Linked DNA regions of Bombyx mori. The protein of the gene in region 3 purifies or fractionates together with the protein of the main gene of each other region. This does not show direct contact. Links are inferred from orthologs where the notes say so. Each region holds a gene or a part of one and is shown on either strand. Other genes may lie near its edges.

Evidence for each region.
Region 1: the proteins of succinate dehydrogenase [ubiquinone] flavoprotein subunit, mitochondrial (region 3) and succinate--CoA ligase [GDP-forming] subunit beta, mitochondrial fractionate together in Homo sapiens (co-fractionation; 3 studies listed by BioGRID, with this or other methods). This does not show direct contact. The link is inferred for Bombyx mori from reciprocal best matches to the Homo sapiens genes SDHA and SUCLG2.
Region 2: the proteins of succinate dehydrogenase [ubiquinone] flavoprotein subunit, mitochondrial (region 3) and succinate dehydrogenase assembly factor 2-B, mitochondrial purify together in Homo sapiens (co-immunoprecipitation; 3 studies listed by BioGRID and IntAct, counting the BioPlex papers as one, with this or other methods). This does not show direct contact. The link is inferred for Bombyx mori from reciprocal best matches to the Homo sapiens genes SDHA and SDHAF2.

Annotation. Positions count from the first base shown.
Region 1 is NC_085121.1:7,626,100-7,631,017, reverse strand, and holds the start of succinate--CoA ligase [GDP-forming] subunit beta, mitochondrial, read left to right. Parts: upstream 1-1,699; 5' UTR 1,700-1,765; exon of another isoform or gene 1,766-1,792; intron 1,793-1,950; 5' UTR 1,951-2,172; intron 2,173-2,292; 5' UTR 2,293-2,332; coding exon 2,333-3,007; intron 3,008-3,270; coding exon 3,271-3,426; intron 3,427-4,424; coding exon 4,425-4,659; intron 4,660-4,918. UniProt on the Homo sapiens protein: GTP-specific succinyl-CoA synthetase functions in the citric acid cycle (TCA), coupling the hydrolysis of succinyl-CoA to the synthesis of GTP and thus represents the only step of substrate-level phosphorylation in the TCA.
Region 2 is NC_085119.1:6,985,632-6,990,430, reverse strand, and holds the start of succinate dehydrogenase assembly factor 2-B, mitochondrial, read left to right. Parts: upstream 1-1,580; 5' UTR 1,581-1,735; coding exon 1,736-1,777; intron 1,778-1,901; coding exon 1,902-2,035; intron 2,036-4,799.
Region 3 is NC_085109.1:8,413,640-8,417,945, forward strand, and holds the end of succinate dehydrogenase [ubiquinone] flavoprotein subunit, mitochondrial, read right to left. Parts: intron 2,942-4,306; coding exon 2,706-2,941; intron 2,035-2,705; coding exon 1,879-2,034; 3' UTR 1,861-1,878; intron 1,534-1,860; 3' UTR 739-1,533; downstream 1-738. UniProt on the Homo sapiens protein: Flavoprotein (FP) subunit of succinate dehydrogenase (SDH) that is involved in complex II of the mitochondrial electron transport chain and is responsible for transferring electrons from succinate to ubiquinone (coenzyme Q).

The sequences.
Region 1 (4,918 bases), on a different chromosome or scaffold from region 3:
GGTTTATGCATCTATCTAAAGTACCACAGACTTATTTATTTCAAGGTACTGATCTCTCTTGACTTGCGGCGATATGCTGGGAGAGATTGGATGCGGAAGGCGGAGGATCGTTCATTGTGGCGGACTATGGGAGAGGCCTACATCCAGCAGTGGAGAGATATAGGCTGATGATGATGATGATCTCTCTTGTAACATTCCATACTTTTAGCAACAAATAAACTAGCCCGTGCTTTCTGAGTTCAACATAATGTCTTCAGATCCAAATAGGTCCAGACACTAGATAATCTTAGTGTAGTAAACAATTATATGAATATAATTTTTAAATTGTGATAATAATTCACTTACAGAAAAGAACCCTCCTTATGTGCCTTTTAGATTTTACATTTATTTGATAAGCTTAAACATTTAGTCCTAATAATTTTATAGTAAAAAAGATATTTATCCATGTCGAATCTTATTCGGAATCGAAATTTAACTTAACAATAAATGTAAAGATTTGTTTTGTATTGTTTTGAGAAACAAAGGAAAGAAACCTATTTACTTTCTTAAATTAATAAAAAGAAGATGACTATTTACGAAACATGTAATTTTAAATTAATAATTATGACATGTTAATTGTAATTATGACAATTATGTCCTTAGCCAATACATTAATTTAAATTGCTTTTTTTTTTCCTACCTAAGCTGGTAGCCTGGAGCGGCTATTCTAGCGTAACCGTAACTAGTAGGTGAGCTCACGGGGCTCAAACCTGATGACGATGCTAACACGAACTCTAGCAAGAGTCGTGCTTCGCAGAATCTACCACCGGATCGGAAACGCGACCCACTGAGAAGATCCGGCGAGAAACTCAGTGGGCTGTGTCTGAGAGTTAATTTACTCGTCAAGCCCTTCGTCGCAAGCGACGGGTTCGACAAGAACGGTGACCTTTTAAGTTGCAGTAAGCTCGCTCGATGCTTAAAATGACAACTATTTACTTTTATTCCTATTTACAGAAGAAGTGCTTTTTTCCTTCTTAATTAATATATTTAAATTAGCTTTTTAAATTTTTCCACTTGCTATTATGGCGCCGTCTTAATTCGCTCCCTTTCACCGGATATTTTTTAATAACAGGTTGCCGAAAAAGTTTCTTCGCATTTTTTAAGAAAATTCACAACATTTTTTTAATATAGTTTATTTACAATTAACTAAAGTATGTAGGTACCATTTTGTTCAATAACTTTTTGCCTTCTTGTAGGTAGGGACATGATCCTATTGCTGTAGAAATTTTGAAGCTTCTGATCAAAATACCGCGACAATTGGTTTTGGCAATCCTCTCGTGATGATAACCTGAGACTGCCTAAAGAGACCGAAACAGGTGGAATCTGAAGATGCAAGGTCAGGACTATACGGCGGATGCATTAAAACCTCCCAGCCAAGCTCTCTTAATTTTTGCTGAGTGGCTAAAGATGTGTGAGGTCTAGCGTTACCAAAGTTTTTTTACTTTATATGAGGCGTCCTCGTTTTTTACGAGCCTATATATAGTGAAAACCAATATTTTATGAAGACTATGTGGTTTTATAATTTGTCCAAATTTACCAAAACACTGCCTGCGGTATCGCCTTCTTTTCTGAGCTGATTTTTATTTAATCCTTTGACAACATTATTTCATACCACTTCATGTCGTGTTGTCCTAAAGGTCTGGATACCAGGCCATAAATTCCAACTAAAAAAAAAAACCTCACGTCGTGTTTTGTAATTGAAAAAAATACCGCCGCGCCGGATAGAGTAAATGCTTCATTATAAAATTTTATTGTATGTATTTAATGGTAGGTAGCGGGTTGGCTCTGCCCCGGCATTGCTGACGTCCATGAGCAATGGTAACCACTTACTATCAGGAGGGCCGTAACTCGTCTGTCTGCAAAGGTATAACAAAATTAAAAAATAATTATATCCCTTTGCCTGTTCAATAGACGAATCAAACAAAAAAACATAACTTGTTTTACGTGGTGAAGTAAAGTAACTCGTCTCGTAGAGGTTATGAAATAGACTTATTTAAGATAAAAGTACATAATATTAAAGTTCGTTAACGCGAGTGATTTTTCAATTTATCCAATAAAATTTAGTGGAATTTTCCCTGCGCTCCGCAGATTGCAGTTTTTGCAATGAAAATTGTCTAAATTTAGTTCAGTAAGGTGAGTTTTAGTCTTTTAAACTGTGACCAAAGTTCAAATTATATTTTCCTAGCTTGTAATATATTTGCACCGACCATTAGATTCAATAATCAATTAAATTGCGAACCACATCTTTTACAGACTGCCTGTTTCGTGGTTAAGATTCAGTTAAAATTAAATTATGGCCGCTTTTAAGAATTTAAAAAGTTTTAAACTCATAAACCTTGCTTCGTCCACATATTGTCCACGAGTAATTTCAACAAGACACCTAAATCTTCAAGAGCATCATAGCAAAGATCTTCTGAGAAAATATCAGGTTTCCATTCAGGACTTCAGAATTATTGATTCCAAACTAGATACGAATGCCTTATCTGGTTTTAAAGCTGATGAATATGTAGTCAAGGCTCAGATTCTTGCTGGAGGACGAGGAAAAGGTCACTTTGACAATGGGTTTAAAGGGGGAGTTCATCTTACAAAAAACCGGGACAAGATTGTCGACTTAGCTAAAAATATGATAGGAAACAAGCTTATTACTAAACAAACTCCCAAAGAAGGTATTTTAGTAAATAAAGTTATGGTCGCAGAAAGTGTGAATATCAAAAGAGAGACATACTTTAGTATTGTAATGGAGAGAAGTTTTAATGGTGCAGCCATTGTAGCTTCTCCAGCTGGAGGTATGGATATAGAGGCAGTGGCTGAAAAAACCCCACATTTAGTGAAAACAGTTCCAGTAGATATTTTTGAAGGGATTAGTGACAAAGTTGCAAATGAAATAGCTGACTTTTTAGAATTCAAAGGACCACTAAAAAGCAAATGTGCTGAAGAAGTAAAAAAGCTATGGCAGTTGTTTTTGAAGGTATAATTGAATAACAAAAAACAGAAGTTTTAAAGTTAGATAACATTAATCTGTTAATTTTATTGATATATCTAAACAGGCAATGAACTAGCCGCACTGGACATCAATTGGAGAGGTCTATGTTCAGCAGTGGACAGATGATAATGATGATGATGATGATCTAAACATATTTTCATATTGATTTGCCTTTAGGATCCTTTTAAAATATCTTAGACACTAATGTGTAAAAAGAATACATAGTTATTGTTAAAAATCTATTTAAGGTGGATGCTACACAGCTTGAAATTAACCCTCTGGTTGAAACAGATGATGGACGTGTCATTTCAGTTGATGCCAAGATTAATTTTGATGACAATGCTAAGTTTAGACAAAAGGAGATCTTTGCACTTGATGATGTTTCCGAGACTGACCCACGTGAGGTAAGTACAAAATACTGGCTGTAAATTATTTCAATTCATTTATAAAATACCAATATATGGCAACAGATATGCAGCCTGATGCAGGGTAACTTATTATTTAAGAATTATAAACATTATTCAAATAACATAAAAAACATGCCACTGCATACATGTTTTTTGATGTGGTCAACTGTTACTTTTTGTTTTTTTTATTATATTGTTTTTTTTTTTAAATAATGTCTTGGGTATCATAAAATAACATCAGAACCCAAGATAGGATAAAGTGAAAAAACAGTGTGTACTTGACACTATCAATTTATTTTACATAACTCAGTTTATCTTACTTCTGATAAATACGTCATTTGTCTTTATTTTAAATGCAACTATTGCTATCTTTATATCATTTTTGGTTATCTGAATGTCGTGAACTTATTTATTGAACTCATTTTTTTACTGTTTAGAACTGTTTTTATGAAAATGGTAGATGTCACTCAACATTTACATCATAATTTTGTGTAAAAAAGCCCGAATGCAATTTTCTTTAATCATCAATCTTTTAATGATCAAAACATACAAAGAAAGTAGAAATAGGTAATGGTTGAATGTTATTTGAAAAACTCTCGCCTTCAACAATATTAGGTCTCAGTAGGGTTTTATAAAAAAGAATTTTGATATTTAGTGACAGAATCTTGAAACAGAAATATTTAAGCAGGCCGAAATAGCATGATGATATAATATAGTATATAACTATCAAGTACAGTTTCATTAATATTGAAACACATCATTAGGTTTTATAATTTCAATTGCAATTTTTGTGTATGTTTTAGATGGCTTGGTATTCTACGGAGGTCACTATTGGCCATCACTAAGTAGTATCACCAACTGACTCATTACAGTCATAAGTGGACCTTAGTCTGATCCAGTAAATCTCTCCAGCCCAATTTATTTGTGGCTTATTCTCAAACATCACTCCTAAGGCAATATGTTTAGATAAATTTTATTTGTTTTCGGACTTATAGAGAGAAGCAAATTCCCTCAATTTGGTGTACATTGAAATGGATGGAAGTATTGGCTGCATGGTTAATGGTGCAGGACTTGCCATGGCCACTATGGATATCATCACGCTGAATGGTGGCAAACCTGCTAACTTCCTAGACCTTGGAGGTGGAGTTGGTCAATCACAAGTTTCTGCAGCTTTGAAGATTTTAGAGTCTGATCCCAAAGTGAAGACGATTTTCGTCAATGTTTTTGGAGGTAATAACCATAACAATAACTCAGCTACTTCAGTCTTTGCCAAATAATGTAGAAATTTATGACAAGTTGTAACTATGTACACTATTATGACTTTACTAAATAATGCATTTCATGATACTCCATGTTTTTATAAGGGTTTTTTTTTTATAATTTCTCATAATATTACATTACAAGTCATCATTAATTTAAATATTGTTATGAATGACATTTTTCTCTTTCTTTCATTTTTCATTTTGTTATTTATACATTGTCTGTCCAC
Region 2 (4,799 bases), on a different chromosome or scaffold from region 3:
TTTTAATTAATGATCAAAAGTCAACGGTCTTTAAAAGCATTATTTGCAATTATTTAGATTAACTGTGGAATATATTTGCTAAGTTGTGTTTTCTGTATGAGCAGATATAAATGAAAATGCCCAAACATGATTATGTTTCTTACATTTTCATTATGTGAAATGAATATGCTTGTGACTGAGTATATTAATAATTTATTAAAACTTAAGTGATAGACAGCAACCCCTATGGCACTGCTGAAGTTTATAAGCACTGGTGACCACTTATCATGGGCCGGGTTGCGTGCTCGTCTGCTGTTGAGTGCAATAAAAATTTTCGAAACCCTTTCTATTATTTAGATGTAATATTAGTGTACATTTAATTTGGATTAAAAAATAAATTTACATTTTATGTTTGCATGTGTATGTTTATAATTCATTTGCATGTAACGAACACCAGTTTCTTTTGTAACAAAATGTAAACTAATGGTTTGTAATGAATGTAATTAACTTTAAGATGATTTTCTTTCAATCTGCTGTTTGTTTCATCTAGTATTACCAAAGCTAAAGCATCAGAAACGTCAGAATAGAAATAATTTAGATAGGGAATAAAAGTATAACTAATGTAATCATGTCTAAGATTACTATAAGCGTCATTAAGTACAAATTAAGTACAATTAAGTATCAATATTTAAGAGTACTTTAAATCATCATTACATTTTTTAAACATTTTTTGTTTTTCAAATCATGTAATAAAACGTTTGTCAGAACAAAATGTCACATGTTATGAACATGATTGTGGGTTAATCGTTTCTTAAATTTCTAAATGTTTATAAGAATGCTAAGAATAATTTAGTATTCACTTTAGTGTGTGTATTATCTCTACAATGCTAGTATAAATGACAATTATTGTATGACGAAGCATAGGTAGTGTTTATAGATGTAATATTTTCATACAAGGTCATGATCTGTCACGATCAACTTTAAGCAAGAACTGCTATAGTTAAGAAACAAATTTATTAAATTTAATTCAAATTGTCTACTATGTTTGTAATGGAAAGCTGACATGTTTATATTTCGCATAAATGACTTAAGTGACATTGAATGATTTGATTATCTAGACTTAATTACTTTTAGATAACTTTCGATTTAATGTGTACGCTAGTAGGATTATTCTAGAGGAGTTATTGTTATTCGAAATTTTATACAATTGTACGTTCATACAATCTTTTAACAGAAAATTGTTTGTAATATAGGGAAATTAAATAGCTTACAGAGAATTACAGCTTTTTATTTTAAAAAACTGTTTTCTCTCGGTATGAAAAGGTCTTATCGATTAGAATGCTGTACACAATCAAACGTTCTTTAATATTTCATAAGTACTACCGGGAATTTCAGCGATTCTAAACGATAAGATTTTTTCATAAAGAGAGTTAATTATAAAAAATATTAAAATTACTAAAAAAGCCACCTGGCGGGGGGTAGGGAGACTAATAATCGACAGCAGCGACGCCTGCTGTCCCGGGCTCTAACTAAAGCAAAAATAAAAATGAGAGTTGCGCATCTATCTCAAATATATTAAGTGTATAATCTATGTTTAATCCATGTTCTAATTATTCTATGAAGTTGTCACTTGTCATTCTGTCAAAAAAGGAGGAAGGGGATTTTTATTAAAAAATGATCATTTGTATTTATTTGATTTGATTTCGAAACCATTTTACTCAAACGATTATCGTTGTCTAAAATTGATAAAAACAATATGAATTTAATAAAAATGTTGCATACTCGAACCCTTAACCTTGTAAGTACTTTTAACTTACGCTACTAAATAATTAATGGAACTGAAATCTTAGACATGTAGAAATGTGATTTTGTTTTTAGAAATCACTCATGATATGAATTATACGATAATAAAACTATTTCAGTCTTATAATGCACTCAAAAATGTCCAGAAAGTGGCTTTTTCAAGTAATACCACCAACAACATGGATACAACCTACATGGAGATTCCTCTTTATGATGTTGAGAAACAACAACCGCTGGAGAAACGTAAAGCAAGGTAACAAAAGATGGTTAATATAGTGTAAATTTGTTGTTGTGTTGAGTTTTATTGCTCTAAATCAGCAGATATGACTTTTTTATATGCTGTGGATTGGGAGAAACTCATATCCAGCAGTGGACAACCGTACTCTGATGATGATAGTTTTTTCAATGCAACCTTAACTGTATTCAAACAATAACCATTTAACATCTATCTCATGGGTCTGAAAAAGATAATGTCTACACTTCACTCTTTTGTTTATTGAATTTTTTTATTGAATATGTATTTGTTATTTATAAATAAGTTTCTTCTTGAAAACACACTTTTCTTATTAAAAAGCACTTAACAAAAACGACTGAGGTGGTTTTTTGGGAACTGATATGGATTAATGGCATTTCAATTAATTTCAGTGGGGAAAATTACTTTGAGATATGAGCCACTTGACATACGGACAAGGTTACGGAATGAATTAAGCTTGTATGTCGATGTACCACTGTATATCATGGGTGTTAGGAGACTGCTTCCGAAAACGAAGACAGACGATATTACTATGACATCTTGATGATGAAGCTATTTAGACAAATGTTGTAAATAAGTATTTGTGCGATCGTGCGAGTCTGCCCGCGCCGCGCCCTTGCGTTCGTTGATCCGAGCATCAGCTGTTTGATTTTGTGTTTCATCGCTGGTTTTTTTAGTAATGTATTTTTTTATGAAACTATCGTTTCATTTAGCTGTACTAACATGATGGAGCGTAAACAATGCTAATAAAACGTTTTAAAAATATGTTTTTTTTAAATCAGGATCGATTTTTTTCTGTCCTACATCAAAGGTGTCATTAGTACTATCGTCTGTCTTCGTTTTCGGAAACGGTCTCCTAACACCCAGTATAATTGTACATTATTCCAAACAGAGTCGAAAGTAGTAGCACTCAGGGAAAGATTTAGAAAATAATATAAACATCCATGTTGTTCTATGATAACTTACAAGTGTTTATTGCAATATTATCAAAAGCTATTTAATAATCAGGTGTAGCAATAATTCTTTAATAGCCTAAGTGATTTATGAAACAATCTTGAACAAAAACAAAACATCACTTTTATGTAAATACAAAAAATAAATTACATGAATAATACATAAGTAATATTAGGTATGATGAATAATAATAAAAAAATCATTAAATGAAACTTATATTTCTCATCATATATGAAGTTTTTATTCTGTCACTAACTGCTTCTGAATGGGGGTTATTCTTGAAAACTTCCATGAGCATTGATCTGTGGGTAGCTAAGTTGTTATTTTTCACTATGCTCATAAAGAGATATTAGAGGATTGTCCCTATAACTTTGAAATCATTACATGTAATTTTTTAAAGAATACTGACCTTGTATATATCGCACATACGGTGCTATAAAGTCACCTATGCAATTTTTGTTAACACTGAGCTGAGTATGAGAAAATAAATTTTTTTAATAGTTATCAGTGAGATGAAAGAGATCTTTGCTTTTACTGATGAAGTTTAAAGTAGTAGTTTAAATATTATCATTTTATTTCTATAGCCTAGCAGAACTATATATGAATTGTATAATAAGATGTTGAATTTTTCAACGTTTCTCATGAAAAATTACATAATTTGCATAACTGATGTTATTCCACCGTATGTGCATTATATTGTGTTCTAAGTGATTGTTTCCGCTTAATCTGCATCTATTTAATGAGCATGCCAAGATATTTATCATGCTTTATGTAAGATCTTAACTCAGTAACATTGACAACCAAGAGTCCTCTTATTTAAATGTCAATTAGTAAAAATTACTAATTTTGTCTTTTGTGTGGGTTAATTAGTATGTCACATAGCTTGCATTAATTTTGCATTCATGCAGTCTGCTTTCTTGCATACGCTAATGGTTATATAGGCGAATCTCTGAAATTCGTTTTTCTATTTATTGTTAATTAATTAATTTATTTATTTATTATATAATTATTATTTTTTAAATAATTTATCTATTTATTTTGAAGTCGTCGTGGCCAAAAGGATAAGACGTGCGGTGCATTCGTGTTGAACGATGCATCAGTGTTCGATCTCAGGCGGGGCGATTTTTCTAATGAAATACGTACTCAACAAATGTTCACGATTGACTTACACGGTAAAGGAATAACATCGTGTAATAAAAATCAAACCCGCAAAATTATAATTTGCGTAATTACTGTTGGTAAGACCTCTTGAGGTACCACCGCCCTGTCTATTTCTGCCATGAAGCAGTAATGCGTTTCGGTTTGAATGGTGGGGCAGCCGTTGTAACTATACTGAGACCTTAGAACTTATGGACCGTTTATTTTGAAAGTGGTGTAAGTCCATATTTTTTTGTTTCGAGAAAATTAATGGCAAATCATATTATGAGGTCTGGCATTGCTTCTGTTGTTTTATCAACATTGAATTTGTTTATATAAATTTGTTTTTGGCTAATAAGACTACGATAACACATATTTATGTGCTGTAAATGGACTTACACCACTTTCAAAATTAGACAATTGTAAAAATCGGTTAATTTCAATTTTGAAAAATCAAATATCGCTTAAAATATACTTCATTTTAATATAATTTTGTTTACAAATACGCAAAACAACACATAAAATTTTATTTTAGACGGCAATTAAATTACAAGATACTGATTACAAGAATTTACTTATTCTCTGCATGTGGTAGTGTTTCAAAATATGCATGATGCGTTTTATTTCATATAAAATGAATTTATCCTATTTTGTACATTGCGCTATTACATTA
Region 3 (4,306 bases):
AGTAATATAAAATGAATATAATTCATAATAATTTCCAAAAGTAGCCATGACTTTTTTATTACTATTACACAGGGTCCCCTATTATATTTTCAGCTGCATCTATTATCTTAAGCATTTGGTAAATGAACTATAATTGCCATATTTCATTTGATTGGCAACTATATGCAGTCTATGGAGTGCATAGCGTGACTGAATTTTCCATGTTAGAATGAGCTACTTAATCTTAGGTGGTCCCGCTCTGATTATAAAGGAAAAATCTATATTTGATAGAATGTTTAATTTGGATGTATACAAATTCGGGATAGTCTCTTAAAATATGAATGTTCAGTGCCTCATGTTCAATTATGAATGAATGATTGATTATGGCGATCCCACAAATCTCGATTTTTACCATCACCGCACCGTCCACCACTACAGCAGAGTTCGTCCGCACTACTGGAACAATTGCGCTCTCCCTTCTTCATCCCAACAAATCATTAGTCTCTGACATGAACAGTTCCAAAGCGTTTCATGAACGCTATGACTTTCAAATGAGATTGAAATCTTACCGTTAACGGTAGTTAATGGTCCTTGAATATCAGTGAGCATTTAACAGCTGGGCCGTATTTATCAGTACTGATCAAAGGCATAAGAAATAATAAATAGCTCGGTATCGATTGGGACTCGTATACATGTGTCGAAATTGAAAACAAATCCTATTAATCTATAAGTTCTTACTTGAAAAAGAAAACGATAATATAAAGTTACATCACATTTATTTCTGATTCATATAATGTTGCGGGTATGTACATTTCAAATATATATATAATCTATAAATAATACTGAGAAACGATATTCAAAATTTACAAAATAAAATTAGCGCATGAACATTTTACATATCTGTAAGCGTCGAAAAGCTTAACTGGACAAGCTCCGACCCTGGCTTTGTTACAAACTGATTTTTATGGGATTTAGATTATAAAAGGAACAAACACCAGTGAATATTTCCGTTATTTCCTGAGTAAAAACTTACACAACTATGTAACTATTCAATAATGTCGTTAAAATTTTAAAGTAACATGTATTGTCATATTATTATTATCTTAGATGATACAGATTTCTTTATTGTTTCTTTAAGTACTTAAGATAGATATGCTGCTGTAATAATTTGTACAACGTTTAAAAACCACAATAAATGCCGCATTCCGTCTTAACGGTTTATAGTTTACATGAATTATAGTCTGCTGGTGTACTCTCATGATACACGTTCGTATTTAGATATTTCTGGCACACTATTGAGTATCTGGCACTGTTTCATTTGTACATAATTATTTTCAATGTTATTATAGTTTAGATTAAAAAATTTACATTTCAGAGATTGAACTAGTGAAACTTAAATCTTAAATAAAAAATAAATTATTAATGTTAACATAACATTTATACTAAACAGTGGCGTTTCGTTTGAACACTAAAGAAGTATCGGGCGGGCGCCGCACGTCGGGCTGTGTTGGTCTCGCGTTGGTCATTCACGTTCAAAAATGTTTCAATGTAGCCCTGTGTACAGATGGAGAAAAAATTATTACTGGTGGTGGGACCTCTTGTGAGTCCGCACGGGTAGGTATCACCACCCTGCCTATTTCTGCCGTGAAGCAGTAATGCGTTTCGGTTTGAAGGGTGGGGCAGCCGTTGTAACTATAGTGAGATTTTAGAACATATCTCAAGGTGGGTGGTGCATTTACGTCGTAGATGTCTATGGGCTCCAATAACCACTTAACAGCAAGTGGGCTGTGAGCTCGTCCACCCATTCAAGCAATAAAAAAAAAACTTCCACGTGATCCATTCTAAGTTGACTGATTTCAAGGATGGTTAGTAGAGTCCTACTTGCGGTGTTGGCGGCGGCTAGTAGGTGCGGATGACGGGCGGCACGGTGCTGCACTCGGCGGCGTCGAGCGTGCGGTCGATGACGGGGCGGTAGGTGAGGCGCGTGTCGCCGGTCGCGGGGTCCGTCTCGGCGAGCGTGTGCTTCCTCCAGTGCTGCTCGAACGGCAACTTACTCTGTAGGTGATAGACGACGATAGTTATTTGACTGGATTTAATACGATGAACAACATAAAGCTGAGTATTTTTTTTTTTCTCCCTACGTATAGTGTTTCCCATTATGGCCACTAGATGGCGATGTTTGGAATCCTTGCAAATCTTAATTGACTTATTTTTTTAGTAACCTAACAAGTAAGTGAGCTCACGGGGCTCAAACCTGACGACGTTGCTAAAACTGGCCCTAGCAAGAGCAGTGCTTCGCAGAATCTACCACCGGATCGGAAATGCGACTCGCTGGAAAGATCCGGCGAGAAACTCAGTGGGCCATAATTAACGTTAATGCGATCTAATAGGTAGAAAAGCTAGCTTCACGCAGACAGTTCGGTACGTATGACATTAAATCCATTGGGCTTAAAATAGTTTAAATTAAATAATGTGCCATACAATGTTACAACTTTTTTGATTGAATATTGTCTTTTTTCGATGAAAATTCATCTGCTTTTAGTTGTCGAGAGTTTAATCGCCAAAAAAAATAGTACTAAACGACAGCTTTAACTGCATAATATTGTTACATGCCTGAAAATTATGCACTTTTATTAACCCTCTTTTTCTGATACACCTTGATGATTGTACCTTTCCCCGAAATTTGTGTTGACAATCCCCAAGAAGGCATTACATTAATATCTCACCTGTCCCTCGAGAGGTTTAGAGTAGTCGTACTCGTCGCGTCTGGTCTTGAAGTCCTCTCGGGCGTGGGCTCCGCGCGACTCCTCCCGCGCCAGTGCTCCCTCCACGATCTGTACCGAGTTGATGAGAAGATTCTGAAGCTCCAGCGTCTCCACTAGATCACTGTTCCAGATCAAGGACCGGTCGGACACCTTCACGTCTTTTATCTGCTTGTAGATCTCGTGAATTTGACGTTGACCTGTGTTAGAAAAAACGAAAATTCACTTTATAACATTTTACAATTGCAAATAACAAAAATAATGGCACTAAAATAAAAAAATCGGTGAAAAAAACTTGAGAGGTGTCAAGGGACACCTGGATGGAACGAAGTTCCTTTCGATTAATTAGTGAAGGAATAGTAATAAAAAATAAAATTTTATTTTATAAAATATATTTATATAATTATAATCAATTAATTAAAATAACTGCTTTGTTTTCAATGGGAGAGACAGACAGAAAAACACTCGCACGCCGCACGGATTACAACTATAGCAAAAAGTGTCGTTACAACTTTTCGTCTTAATTTTTTCCGTCTAGCCCCCTTTCACAACGCGCGATAAGGAACTTCGTTCCAAAAATCATCATCGATCACATGAACGGGAAATTATAGAGATGAACCTCTTTACAGCGTTTCTTACTTGCTCGCTCCGGGCATTTCAATATTGCAATAATTGTTACGTTATAATACACATTGTAAAAATTAATATTTAAAAAAAATCTAATATTAAAAAAAAGAAAAAATACAATATGCCCGCTGAGTTTCTTGCCAGTTCTTCTCAGAACGGAGGCTAGTTTTTCTGAATTGGCAGTAGTTCTTTTTGACGTTCAACAAGTACATATATAATTTCATTTATGATGAATAAATTTTTTTATTTATTTGATATGATTCTATTCCGTTACATTAAATCCTCGTTCGACGAGATATTATTATGCGAGTTACGACTTTACGAACTTGAATAAGCATGCGATTTCGAATTACTTTCCTTTCAAACTATTTAGAAGCGTACTGAAGTCAGTGTGTGTTTACTGTGTGTACAGGTGTGGTTTGTTATTGATTCTTCGTGTTCGCGGGATATTTTCACTCGGAATATAATAAAAGTCAAACACACTATTTCAATAACATATCTATAATGTTCAGATATATGTGTACAATATTATAATATAAACAAAAAGGAGTAAACGACGCTAGGCACGAGACGGTACAATTAAACTAAAATTTCGTTTTTATATCACTACACAGCATAAAACAAAGTTGCTTTCTCTGTCCCTATATCTGTCTGTCCCTATGTATGCTTAAATTTTTAAAACTACGCAACGGATTTTATTGCGGTTTTTTTAATAGAGTGATTGAAGAGGAAGGTTTATATGAGTCGTTTATTATCAAAGGTGGCAATCTGTGCATTTGGACAAAAAAAATTTATTGATATGTCAATACAGACCAATACAACCACCAGTAAAAAACGCTGCATATATATTGCAGTAACGTCTAGTATGTACCTAGCAGCGTCGATACAGAAGCATATAACGTCAATCTCAGAAACGCACAGATGACATGACGCGTGAC